3 linked regions of the Caenorhabditis elegans genome follow. The protein of the gene in region 1 purifies or fractionates together with the protein of each later gene. This does not show direct contact. Each region holds a gene or a part of one and is shown on either strand. Other genes may lie near its edges.

The links. The genes of interacting proteins can lie anywhere in the genome.
Region 2: the proteins of glct-6 (region 1) and dph-7 fractionate together in Caenorhabditis elegans (co-fractionation; one large-scale study listed by BioGRID). This does not show direct contact.
Region 3: the proteins of glct-6 (region 1) and fbxa-101 fractionate together in Caenorhabditis elegans (co-fractionation; one large-scale study listed by BioGRID). This does not show direct contact.

The regions. Positions count from the first base shown.
Region 1 is NC_003282.8:3,782,647-3,787,255, forward strand, and holds the start of glct-6 (Galactosylgalactosylxylosylprotein 3-beta-glucuronosyltransferase), read left to right. Parts: upstream 1-1,563; 5' UTR 1,564-1,711; coding exon 1,712-1,735; intron 1,736-2,651; coding exon 2,652-2,700; intron 2,701-4,609.
Region 2 is NC_003281.10:13,313,455-13,319,101, reverse strand, and holds dph-7 (methylated diphthine methylhydrolase), read right to left. Parts: upstream 3,978-5,647; 5' UTR 3,969-3,977; coding exon 3,689-3,968; intron 3,644-3,688; coding exon 3,549-3,643; intron 1,719-3,548; coding exon 1,558-1,718; intron 1,391-1,557; coding exon 1,216-1,390; intron 811-1,215; coding exon 592-810; 3' UTR 505-591; downstream 1-504. Other genes in the region: Y43F4B.10 (uncharacterized protein), read right to left, coding at 4,535-4,664, 4,774-4,916, 4,977-5,030.
Region 3 is NC_003279.8:12,958,136-12,961,971, forward strand, and holds fbxa-101 (DUF38 domain-containing protein), read right to left. Parts: upstream 1,798-3,836; 5' UTR 1,785-1,797; coding exon 1,726-1,784; intron 1,671-1,725; coding exon 1,587-1,670; intron 1,530-1,586; coding exon 848-1,529; intron 801-847; coding exon 597-800; 3' UTR 505-596; downstream 1-504. Other genes in the region: fbxa-140 (F-box domain-containing protein), read right to left, coding at 2,237-2,497, 2,547-3,219, 3,274-3,326.

The DNA of each region.
Region 1 (4,609 bases):
TTTGAATCGAAATACGTTAGTTATTCATTGAACAACCATATACAAAAAAGGTCAGCTTTCCGAGGTTGATAGTTGTTGTAGTTTGTAGTCTGTGAGATCACACCTTTGCTGTGAAAACTTACATAGAAAATTTCAATTTATATAAATTATGGACGGAAAATCTATAAACGTGTTTTTTAAATTTTCATTGAAAATTTAATTTTAAAATTTTCAAAAATTTTGGCTAAAAACCGAAAAAATTATACCATTACAATATTTATAATATACAGCAAAACTATTTTTTTAAATTTCAATTTTGGCGCAAAACCCCAATTTCACAATTTTCAACATTTTTTCTTGAAAATATAAACGTTTCCCGGAGGATATTAAGAAAAATTGGCATTATTGATTTTGATGGTATCCAAATTTCAAATAATTTAATTTTAGACTCCGCCCATTTCTTGGTTTTTGTTCTCCATTTGTTTTTTATCAGATTTTCAGATTTTTTGAAAATTTTTGAAATAACCTTTTTTCCGAATTTTTGAGAAAAAATTTCTCAAAAATTCGAAATTTAGTTCCTTTTTCATAAATTTTCCTCAAAACTAGAAATTTTTTAAATTATCACTCCGATCAAAATATTCTTTCTTCTGCATAGTCATTTCCCTAAGTGATACGTCCAAACAAGAATTTTATGCATAATTTCTTATCGTTGAATTCCTGCTGCAAAATGATAAAATTTGATGATTGAATTCTAATGTATGTGTTTTGAGTTTGTGGCATTAATTTCTACTTTTCAAAAACTTCAGCTGGGAGATATTCTTATTGGCAGAGTTTTTTATTTAAAAATGTTTTGGAATTTGTTTTTTTCCAACATAAGAGAAACATATAAAATTCAATTAAATGTCAAAATATAGGCTCAATTTTTTTTTAAATTTTCCAATATATTTTTCCATTTTCAAGGGAAACTAATTTTTTGAAAATTTTGGCTGGAAATTCAAAATTATATTCATTTTTTCATTTTTTTTCAATTTTTAAACCCAAATATTTATTTAATTTATGATAAATAACGTCCCGAGTTATTCAGAAATAAATAATATTTACCTAAAATTTGAGGAAAAAGTCAACAAAAAACAGTATCAAATGCTATCAGTTGTAAAAATTCTCAAAATATTCAAAATTGAGTTGACTCGATATCAAAAAAGATATCAAAAATGAATACCTAACAATAATATTTGTAAGTTTTATTACTTTTTTGGACAACAAAATTATAGAAAAATTAAAAAAAAATTTTTATGAACATTTTTTTCCAGAATTTTTTTTCTCAAAAATATGTGTTTTGCAACTTTTCAAAAATTTAGCAATTACTCAAGATTGATAGAATAAGCTATTTTAACATAAAAACTACTTCCTGTAACCCATTAATTTTCCTCAACGAGAGTTAATAACACCTCCCCCCCTTCAAAAAAAAATTCGGAAACAATACTATTATGTCGATCAACTGGTAATCCATCCCCTTTCACCGAACATCAAACAAGTTTCATTCTCTGCGTCTCTCACCTCTCTCTCTCACTTTTTGATAAGTTCTATTCCCTTTCTGTCAACTAGTAATAAGCCTTCCCCTCACACCCAAACCCGAATATCACTTGAATTTCTATACTATGATATTATACTACGTGTCTACGTCCAATTAGACTGATAATGTTTGATTTTTGACGTTTTTTTCGAAAATCGCATGCTTATTATGAATAATATTGAGGTTTGATTTTGTTCTTTTTGGGAAAAGTGGTTAGAAGTGGGGTTACTTGACTTTTCAAGTTTTTTTTTTTAGAAATCAAAGTTTTGAACAAAGAAACCACTTTTCTTCTTTGGCGCCTAACTAGTTGTGGGATTTTATTTGAACGGCACCATCCAGAATTTCCTGTACTAGTTAGTTTTGAAATGTTTGAATAAAGTTGATTTTTTGGAAAATTGAAAATTTTCGAATTTTCAAAATTTTCTGGAATTTTTTTTTGCTTCAAAGTTGCGAATACCTAATTGAATTTAAGTTTTCCGCCATTTTTTGAAAAATTAGAATTTTGCACTTACACCACGATTTTCTAAGTTTAAAAAAATACGAAATGTTTTTGGAAATTTTTAATATGAAATTTGCGCCAAAAACTTTTTTAAGAATTAAAAATAAAATTTGAACTTTACAGGTAAACTTGATCAAATTTTTCGAATCTGAGTTTTTGCCAAAACATTTTTAGAATGAAATTTTAATTTCCCCCTTTTTTTCAATTATTTTTTGTTGAAAATTTAAATCTTAAACTCCAAATTTTTTCACCAAATTTTTTGAAAAATTCAAAAAATTTGAATAAACTGTAACTGAATTTTTCCTGCTAAAATTTCTAGCAAATTTGAATTTACAGCCAAATTAATATTAAATAGAAATTTAACTTCGAACTCACTGAAAAAATTTTTTTTTAATATTAAAATTTGAATTATTTACCATTTTTGAATATAAATTTTTCAAAAAAATTATAGATTCATTCGAAAATTCCACAAATTCCAAAAATATTGTTTGCTCAAAAACTTCCCTTAACTTACAAGCACACAACATTTCCTGTTTATCAGTTCTTCCGCTTTCTTCATAATTTTATCTTACTTCTACAATTTCAGCATTATATTTGCAGAAGTCAACAAGCGTCGTTGATGATTCAGAGTTAGAGGACTCAGAAAAAAGTGAGTTTTTTTTTTAAATAACAGTTTTATTTTTTTAAAAATTTTACGTAAAAAATACCATAAAAATTGCTTACATAGAGCCCTCCCATTTCTTGGCTCTGCAAGCTGAAATATCATAAAAAATAAAAAAAATAAGATACTGTATATTATAAATATTGTAATGGTATTTGTTCCCAAATTGCATACAAAATATGTATTTTATTATATTCTTCAATCTCATACGCGACATATAACGAAAATCTATGGGATTACCCCAAATAAAATTCTAAGACACAAAAATGTCCCTAATCTTAATCCCCAAACCTCTGACACCTAGGCTGCGGAATTCCCGATGAGAAAATTTTTTATTTAAATATTTTTCCCTTTTGTGAAGGAAAATTATACTTTTAATCGGGTTTTAAGTTGGAAAGTATATCAAAAAATGATAAGAACATTTGAAATTATACTTTTTTGGTTCATTCTAATGATCGCAAAAATTTTTGAGTTGATCCTATCGATGCACCATTTTTTGTAGCTATACTTTGGCTCATATCTCTGTTAATTTTACAGGTTAGAAAACATTTTTTCTGTTGACTTGTAGAAAAATAGTTAACAAGTATTTGGTCAGTTGACGATTTTTTGATGAAACCAATAAGAACTGAGATATGATCTTCCAAAGTTAAGACCATACCGGAACCTGGGTTTTATAGAGGCAATAGAGGCAATAAACATTCCATTAGCTTCAAAACTAATTTTTCAAAAATTCAAAAGTTTCGGGAAGATTCCACCTACCACAACAAAAAAATCACATTATTTTCTTCCTCTTTCTCTCCCCCCCCCCCCCCCCCCGAGACTAGTACAGATTATCGACGATTCAATTCAATAACCACACCAACTTTTTTTTTATTTTTTTTTTTTATGCAGGGTGTGGGCAGGCTTATCAGAGCACTCACCTTTTAGCGCTGACCTTTTTTTTCGTATCGGTTTTGATTCAGAACTTTCTGAATTTTATGTTTTAAGTTTGATGTTTGCTTTTTTGTTGCTTAATCAAATAAATTTGAATGCACAGTGTTGACATTTTCCTCGCCAAAAAAAATAATAAAAAAGTGGTCCTATCTGAAAATTTGCATAACTTTTGAACCCTGTATATTCCCTAAAAGAAAAACCTTTCAAAAAAAATTGGTGAAATTTCAAAATAACAAAAACATTTTTCATAGAGATATTGCTGAATTTGGTAAACTTTTCAACCAGCTGTAAATAACATTATCTTGAAAACATTTCACAAGTTTTAACAAAAATTCGATTGAAAAATTTGAAAAATATTGTAAATTTTTTCACTATTATTTACGTGACTTTTAGATAATTATATAAATATTTATTTTTTAACCGAAAAAAACTTTTTTTACACGTACATATCCCAGCTCAATTTTTTATACAATAATTTTATTTCCAAAACGCGAGAGTTTGAGAAAAAGTGGGTTTTTTCTTTAATTATCAGTGGGAGTTTCAAATTTTGAGCCTTTAAAATAATTAAAACTGCTCTCGAACTTTGATTCCTCATAATTTTTCTTCTCACCAATAAAAAAATAATATTGTTATCTTATATGATGCTGAACAGAGGGGGTGTCTAGGGAGACGAAGCATAGACAAACGGAATTTGAGTTGAAGCTTATAAGAGATACCCTATTGGTTTCCATTTATTCATTATTATCTGTTTTTTACTTTTTAGGAAAGACTTTTTTTAATCTGAAAAATCTCTAAATTTTAAGTTTTAATATATTTTCAGTTTTGAAATCAAAATCTCTAGAAAAAAGTTGTTCTTCATTTTGTTTTTTTTTTGTATTGATAGCTTCAAAGCTAACCAAGATATTGCTTTCCAAAGTTTAGAAGCAAATCATGGTGCATCGACAAGAAAGCATTCTCTAGATTT
Region 2 (5,647 bases), on another chromosome or scaffold:
GCCCAATTCGGCCAACGATTTATCTAAAATTAATTTATAAATTCTTTACCCCAACTTTTTCTGAAACTTTCCGAAAATTGCTCAATTAATGTATAAACTTTTTTTAAAAATAAATGCAGATATTACCCACACGCAAAGCTTTGCGATTGTTGCACGGTCTCAGCACGCGCGTGTGCCTTCAAGGAGTACTGTAGCTTCGAAGTTTTGCTGCTGCACAGAGGTTTCATCGATTTTTCATAATTTTTTTTTGAAAATCTATTTGTTTGTTATAAAAAAAGGAAATACTCAACAAATCTATGAAAAATCGATAAAAATTCCACAGCAACGAAAGTTCGAAAATACAGTACTCTTTAAAGGCGCACACCTTTTCGCATTTAGCAAAAAATTCTCGTTTCGAGACCAGGACACCGTACTTTTCGCGCAAAAATCGCGAAAGTTGCTGTACAATTTTTTTGTTATTATTAACACCCTCATCTTGTAAAAATTCCAACTAAGGTATAAATTCTGTAAACGCAATTTTTATTATTATATTAAATTCAACAAGCAAAAAATCACTAATTTAACAAATTCACCGGCGTTCAACATTTTTCATCAATACTCGTCTAAAACAGCCAAATAATCATTAAAAGTACAAAAGAGCACCGAATTCGCGGACATTTTTGTTGCTCCATACAGAAGATTCGATCCAACATCCCGATTCTCGTGGACAATATCGAGAGTGTCCGAATTCAGAATACTGTAGCCACCGTACATGCAGGAAGTACAGTACTCTGAGCCAACTTGTTCAATGTTCCAAACTCCACCAGAGAGCTGTAATTGGAAAATAATTTAAATTTCTCGTTAAATTTAGGGGAAATTTTCAAAATAACCAATAAATTGTTAGGTCTATAAACGCGAAGGACGGTAAAATAAAGTCGATTCGCACCTGAAAGGCCTGGATTTTTTATTTTGAATACGTAGAATCTGGTGACACGTGGCGATATGAGATCCTGCACGTGGCACAGATAGTGTTCAATTTTTCGAAATTCTGAGGTTGCGTATTTCGCAACATATTTGACGCGCGAATATCTCGTAGCGCTGGTGTCGATTTACGAGAAAATCGAGCCCGTAAATCGACACAAGAGCTACAGTAGTTTTTTTACGAGATATTTTGCGCGTCAAATATGTTGTGCAACACGCACTCTCAGAATATTATGCTCCCATAATATATCATACCTTTTTCTCTTTGAGCACAGTTTTTAAATTCCTTCGATCGAAAATCCGGACGTGCTCGTCATAGCTTCCAGTTAGAATTTGATCTTCGTTCGAAGCCGGGAAATCAACAAAAACAACACCGGCTTCGAAAATTTTTGATTGACCGGTTTGAGTTCGGCTGCGAGCATCCCAGAGTCTGAAAATTTGAAGATTTAAAACCCCTCTGTTTGAATTTTGAATTCCCTCCAAAATGAGAACTGCAGGACCAATCAGCGATTTGCTCCGCCCACCCCTTCTGATTGGTTTGCAGTTCTCATTTTGGAGGGAATTCAAATAGAAAATTGGTTTTTCCTTCAAACCTACTTCATTGATCCGTCCTCTCCGCCAGTTACAACTGTCTGAGCATCTTTGCTGATCGCACAAGACCATACTTCACATCCTTCACCAGGAACGTACGGAAGCGAATGAGCAAGCCACGTGGAAACGATGAGTGATGTGTTCAGGTCGACGATGTACGCGTGGCCCTGAAATGAACTGATTTCAAAAAATAGAGAAAAAAACGTTTAAATGGGCAAGCGCGCTCCACAGCGAAATGAGAACGCTCCGCCTCTGGGTCTCGTTAGGTATTGGCGCCAAAAAAAAACAACAAAAATACATATTTTCTGACACAAAATTGATGTAAAATTCAGTTTTTAATGTGATTTTTCGAAATTAAGGTTTTGCCGCCATTACCTATTGGGACCCAATTCTTGGCAGTAGAGCGCACTTGCGCGTTGTTCTGCGTCTCTGGAGCTCCACGTGGTGTCAGAGTGTCTCATTTTGACTTGATATACGGAGATCTACAAAAAATGCGGGTTCTCAACTGATTTCGCGTAGTTAAGAACGTGCTGACGTCATTTTTTTTTTGGATAAAATTCCCGCATTTTTTGTAGATCAAACCGTCATGGGACAGCGTGGCACCACTTGGCTTGATAATAACGCCTACAGAGCAGTTCTGAGAACTTGCTGCGGCCTCACAAGTGACACCCCAGCACACCATATCTACGAGGAAGCGACCAGATTGCCCCTGAGAGAAGAAATTGAGCTTAGAAGACAACAATTCCAGATTTCGTCAATAAATACGCCAGGACATCCATCCAAAGACTTAAAGCTCAGAAGGCCGACGGAAAGAGCGTCAAATAGGCCAAGGGAGCCTCCGTTAGATTACCCTAGCAACACCACGAGCAACTGGCAAATTCCTCAAATGACCACCAAGGCCATCCAGAAAGCAAACCATAGGAAATTCGTGCAGGAATTTCTGAACAAGAAACCGGTGAACAACGTGCTGGGCACCCCTGCCCCAGCGGTGGCCGAGGAAGAGAAATCACTACCAAGGGTGAAGCAGAGTGGAGCTAGCAAGGCTGAGATGTGGACATTCCACGATGGTACCCGGCTACTTCGCGATACCGACCTGTGGGAAATGTGGCGATCAAAGAGGAAATGTGGCACACTTGTTGGGATGCTCAACCCAACCCCCGCTAACGCCATCAAAATTGTGGTCGGATCCGAAAACGGTGGCTGAGGCCCTGGGCCTCCCCACCAAAATATTCGACCCTCCGCACCTGCAGTGGTCTCACCAGTGATTCTCCGACTCAGCACATCTATGAGGAAACGGAGAGGCTTCCTCTTCGCGAGGAAATTGAGCTCCGCAAGCAGCAATTTGCAATTGCAGCACTGAACACCCCTGGCCACCCATCCAAAGACCTAAAGGCAAGAAGACCCCTTGAGAGGACGACCAACAGGCCCAGAGAGCCGCCGTTAGACTATCCGAGCAGCACCACCAATGCCTGGACAAATCCCCGCTCAACGACCAAGGCCATTCAGAAGTCCAACCACCGAACCTTCATCAAAAACTTCCTAAACAGCAAGAAGCCGAACAACGTACTTGGACGCCCTGCCCCCGCCATAAATGGTGAGGAAAGCTCCTTGCCGCGAGGAACAAGAGTGGAGCTAGCCAGAATCAGATGCGGTCACTCAACCATGGTCCCAAGCTATTTCGCGAGAATCAACAACGACACGGTGCCAGCCTGCAAGAAGTGTGGCGATGTCACAGGGAATGTGGAACACATGCTGAGATGTTCTATCCAACCCCCGCTCACTCCGAAAAAGGTGGCAGAGGCACTGGGCCTCCCCACCAGAACTTTCGATCCAGGCGGATCTCAATGATCCAAGGACCTCCACGGATCCATCGCGGTGCTTTGCACCACTACTACTACTACTACCCTGGAGGAACTCACTGAGGCATGGACGCCCATGGCGCCCTTCTGGTGGTGCTTTGCACCACTACTACTATAATACCGGCGAGATCACAGTACTTTGTTGTCAGTTGTAATAGTGAGGGAAGAATCCGAAAGTCCCAAATCCAAAAGCATATCCGACGATACAGGTGTAGTTTCGGATGATACAGGTTCTGAAAATCGTCCTGCTCATTTGAAATCTCAGGCACAATTCAAACCTTCAATTTTCTGAACCACTAGTGATCCATCGGTTAGCGCTGCAACTATCGTCGACGGATTTCGGAAATCGAATCGAAACACTCCAGCAGAAGTGCTAATCTCATTTTCCAACTGTAGCCCGTCGGCTTCATCAATCTTCAAAATGCACAGTGAGCCGGATCGAGTGTCTGAAGATGTATCGAGAAGATACGTGGATACGCAAGCACGTGATGTGTCCTCTGATGGTATCCGACGAGCAAATGCTGGGCGATTTGACAGCTTCACACTTTTTGATCGCATTTAAATGAGCTCAAAAAATTTGTAATTTTGAAAATTTACTAAAAATGCGGTTTTCAAACGTAAAATGTTTCAATTTTTCGTCAAAAATACGGTGTCCGGTCTCGACACGAAACAATTTGTTGTTAAATGCGAAAAGGTGTGCGCTTTTAAAGAGTACTGTAATTCCAAAATTTTTCGTGATGTGGAATTTTCATCGAATTTTCAGTTTTTTAGAAATAAAGTATTATTTTAACGAATAACGTTAAGAAATCGATAAAAATTTTACAAAAACCAAAGTTTGAAATTACAGTACTCTTTAAAGGCGCACACTAGTTTGTATTTAACCAAAAAATTGTCGTGTCGAGACCAAATACCGCCGTTTTGGCTCCAAAACCGCCAAATTTCGAGTCTATACATTGGTGAACTATTGAGATTGGAATAAGACACATATTCATGGAAAAAATATTGGGAATAATTTAAAACCCATGAGGATCGTGATGGAAATTATAGCAAAAAAATTAAAGTTTCCAGTTTGCAGGAATGGTAAAAATAAATACAATTTGAAATACATATATAAAAAAGCAAGATTAATTCTTCGAGGCGGCCTCCGATGATGTCTCTTCAGGCTTCGGAGTCTCTGATTTCTGCGCAACTCTTTGTGCTTCGATCGCAGCGTCTGCCTTTTTTTTGTCTGTTTCGGCCTCTTGTTGACACGCTCTGCAAATGATTTTTTTTCTCTCAATTGATTTCTCGATTATGACGATCAAATATTTGATCGACACTTATAATTCGAGTGGAAAATCGACGAAAAAACTCAAAAACCTACCTAATCAGAACTTTTGCCGCTTGAATATTCCTCTTCAACCGTTCACAGGTCAACTTATTGAATGTATATGTTGGACGAACGTCTTTCCCGATTTCTTCGATCAACTTGAGCAGAACTTCGTAATAAGGAGTGCCTTCTTGCATCTGAAATCATTATTTTTTCAATTAAAATTGTATATTTAGATTTTTTTTTAAATATTTTACCTGAAGATTCGGCACAATTGAGATAAGCGTTTGAAGATCTTCTTGTGTCGCCATTTTTCTAAAACAAAATAGGTTGAATGAATTACTGCGAGAAATCAATAAAAATACAGAGAACGGGAACACCACCGTTCTCTGCGTCTCTTTTCAAAACACGTTTCAATGGAGCACATTTGCTTTAGGATTTTGGCGGTTATTTTTACGATATTTTTTTTTGAGAAATCGAAAAACCAAACAATTTTGTTTTGTCGAAATTTTGAAAAAAAAAAGGATTTTTGGAAAAATATAATTTTCCTCTTTTTAGAGAAAAACTATCTGTTTCTTATGATTTGTTCTCATTAACATAAATAAAATTTGATAAAAAATAGTTTTTTTTGTTAATTTTCTAAACATTTTTCCAATTTTTCGGTTTTCCCGGTCTCGCCACGGCAAATATTGGTTAAATGCGGAAAAGGTGTGCGCCTTTAAAGAGTACTGTAATTTCAAACTTTTGTTGAAACGTACGGAATTTCATGATTTGCAGCAACACAAGTTTGAAACTACAGTACTCTTTAAAGGTGCACGCCCGTTTGTATTTAACAAAATATTGTCGTTGTGAGACCGGGTACCGTATTTTTAGTGTGAAAATTGCAAAATTTTGCGGCTGGGTAATATAAAATTGAATCGAGATATTT
Region 3 (3,836 bases), on another chromosome or scaffold:
TTGCGGTCCAGATCATTGTTATAGAACTCGTTACACGTTTTGGGCTTGTAATAAAATTAAAATTTGAATTTTGAAAAAACACTTTGGGAAATTTTTTTTTTGTGAAAAAATTTAAAATTTCTAAAAACGTTTTTAAAAAATTAATTTACAATTTTTGCTAGTATATTCTTCACTTTCAGCTAAAATTTCTAGAAGAAAGGTTCAAAATATGACAAATTTGTAGCTTAGAGCAGGAATAAATTCATTTTTCTTTTCAAAAATATATAATTTATTTAAGCACTTGATTTTTTTTTTTTTTTTAATTTTTTTTTTTAAATTTTTTCACTAAAACGACTAAAAACATGAACTTTCCATAAATAATTTTCAAAAAAAAGTCAAGTTTCGCTTTCGGTTGATTTATTTTCTTTACCGGAAGCGACGTTTTTTCAATGTACTTTCTTGGCTTAGGCTTATAAAATGTCTAGTTTGTAGTCTATTAGCCTTCCAGTGTTGATCAAAGAAAAATGACAAAAGCAAATTCATGAGAACGAGATGAACAACAATAAATTAAACAACAATTTTTGAAAAACCAAAAAACAAAAATTAAAATTAAATAATCAGCCGAGTTTCTTCTCAATTTTCACTCGCTCTTCAGTGACTTCAATGACATATTCAAATCCATTTGCCTTGTAATTGATGGTTCCGGTTTTGCCAGCGAAGGTAGGATCAAACTCTTGGAGCATTTCTTCTGCAATTGATTCACTATCATCTAATTGCTTGCTGACGACACAAGTTTCCAGCTTTGTAGACGAATTTACCAACTGAAAGAATTTTAATTAAATCAACTAAAAATTGATTATTGCTATACCTCTTTCAGATCATTTGGCGATACCTCTGGACTGGTGAATTCAATACTTGAAAATCCAAGAAGATCCGACACAGTAAATCCAAAGACGGAGCAAATGTTAAGATCAGTTCGCAATTGTTTTGCATTTTTAAACTGTTCCAAGCAAGTTAGTGGACGAATATCGTTGAAGATGCAACGCATAATCTCAAATTTCACAAGTGTTCCAGCATCGAAAGAACTGAGAATTAGCGCAGCTCGTGGTTTCTTGAATCCACTCAGAGAAACTGATTTCGCTCGGAAACAGTGAGCATCTCCAAACTCCATATCGATTGTTCTCAGGCTTGACCTCAACCGTTCATTGTGGACATAGTCTTCATATCCTCCAATTGAGTCGAAATCTAGACTGAACTTCTCAATCTGAGCTTTTGGAAGCTTCATGACATTGAACAATTTTCTGAGAGCAAACTGTAGTCCTTTATTGTAGATGGTTCTTCTTTCATCATCAGCCACGACCGGATGGAAAGGTTCATTGCGAGCGTTGCTTATTTCATCATAAGGCACAAATCTATACCGATAACGAAATGATTTTCCATTGAGAACAATGGTGTACCTATGGCCCTCAATAAAAATATCAATGTCCAAATCCAGTTTCAAGGTGTCGATGAAGCTTCGAAGATTTCCATTGGAATTGCGAACGGAAATCCTGAAAATATTTTTATTATACTTTCTAAAAATATAATTTTTATTTATTTGATCTTACCAATCGTATGGATGCAGTTTCTTCACAATTTTCTTCATAATATTCAGAGGCAAGTCAAAAAGCGTCGGCGAGCTTGTCTTCGATCTGAAAATGTGTTTTAAAAAAGTTATTTGAAATTATTGTAGCCTAAATAACTAACAATTTCATGGAATTCTGCTTGTCCGTCGTTTCACCAATTTCTGCTCTTTGGCTAGTCATGTCGACGAATTACCTGAAAAAAATTAATTTGAGTAAATATAGAAAATCACGTTCAATGTGTAAAAACGAAATTAATTTTTACAAAAACAGGTTATTTTACTTATTTTAAATCATTTTCAGGGGAAAAATCACAAAAAATTGGTTAGAAAAACGCATAAACCACATTTGAAAATTCAAAAAAAAATTTAGAATTTTTGTGCGTCAAATGAGATGCCCGGTACGCATACTGCGTACTCTGAGAGTTACCGTAGTTTGGAAAAGGATCTTTGTTAACTATTCGAGAATTCCTTTTAAAATATAGAAAAACTGGGAAGATTACAAAATATTAAACGGAAGGTAACATTCAGCCGTAACCCAAATTATTGGTTTAATCAGTTTCAAAACAAAAAAAGTAACAAAATAAGAATTCATGTGACTAGTAAAACAAAAGCAAATTTTGAAAAATGAGAAGATTATTCGATTTTCTTCACAATTTTAGTTTCGAATTCAGTGACTTCAATGAGATATTCGAATCCATTTGCTTTGTAATTGATTGTTCCGTTATAGCCAACAAAGTTCGGATCGAACACTTTGAGCACTTCTTTTGACACCGTTAACACTCCACTATTGTCCTCATCATCGCTGTCTTCATCACTATCTTCATCGCTGTCATCCTCGCTGTCATACGTGTTCCTGCTGAGACAAGTTTCCAGCTTTGCAGACGAATCAACCAACTGAAAAAAAATCTAAAATTAATTAATCAATAATTAAGAATTTCTATACCACTTTCAAATCAGATGACAATACTACAGTTGTGAATTCGATATTTGAAAATGCGAACAGTTCAGCAACTCGAATTCCGGTGTAGCGATCAGTGGAAAGTCCAGTTTTCAGTTTTTTCGCATTCTTCCACTGCTCCGAAAGCGTCAGCTGCCAACTGAAGTAGAACTTGTAGGAATTAATGATTTCAATGTTCTCGAGAGTTCCAGACTTGAAAGATTTGAGAATGAGCACAGTTCGAGGTTCCTTTAGTCCACTCAGAGAAACTGATTTCGCTTGGAAACAGTGAAACTCTCCAAACTCCTTATCGATTGTTCTCAGGCTTGCACTCAACAGTTTATTTTTAAAACTAACTCTTCTGGAACCAATATCGTAGATATCTTCAAATTCGTCACTTCCTCTTCCCATAAAGTCAAAATCCAGTTTGAACTCTTCAATTTGGGCACTTGGAAGCTTCATAACCACGAACAATTTTCTGAGAGCAAACTGTAGTCTTTTATTGTAGATGGTTCTTCTTTCATCATCAGCCACGACCGGATGGAAAGGTCCGAAGGATTGATTTCCATTGATATCAATGGTGTGAAAAGTGCCCTCAATAGAAACATCAATGTCCAATTTGAGGTGCTGGCTGTCGACGAAATCTCGAAGATTTCGATTGGAATTGCGGACGGAAATCCTGAAACTCATTTGGTTTTTTTTTAACATTTGCCTAACATTCAAAATTTGATACCAATCGTATGGATCCACTTTCTTCATAACTTTCTCCATAACATCAACTGGCATGCTTAAAAGCGTAAGTGGTCTTTTCTTCGATCTGAAAATAAGCAAATTTTAAACTGAATCCGATGCAAATTTCATTTTAACACTAACAATTTAATCGATCCAGTTTCTTTGTCATTTCGACAATTCCACGAGATGAGCCAGTCATTTTGACAAATTACCTGAAAAATAGGAAATTTATTTGATTGATTCAGTTTTCAATCGTTTGAAGTGAAGAAAACAATAAGAAAATACGGATAAAGTGAAATATCTTTGTAAAATACGTTACCTAACGGTAAAATAACAAATTTTCCAGTAAATTTCGTGAAAACTGAAAATTTCTTTTCTGTCTAATAAATTTTCACAAATAAAAATCACAAAAACGACAGGAAAAATGCAAAAACTATGTTTGAAATTTTGAAAATCCAAAAACAATAAACTAGGAATTCTGTGCGTCAAATGAGATGCCCGGTACGCAAGTTGCGTACTCCGAGAACTACCGTAGTTTCGGAAACTTTTTTTGAAACGGCTAAT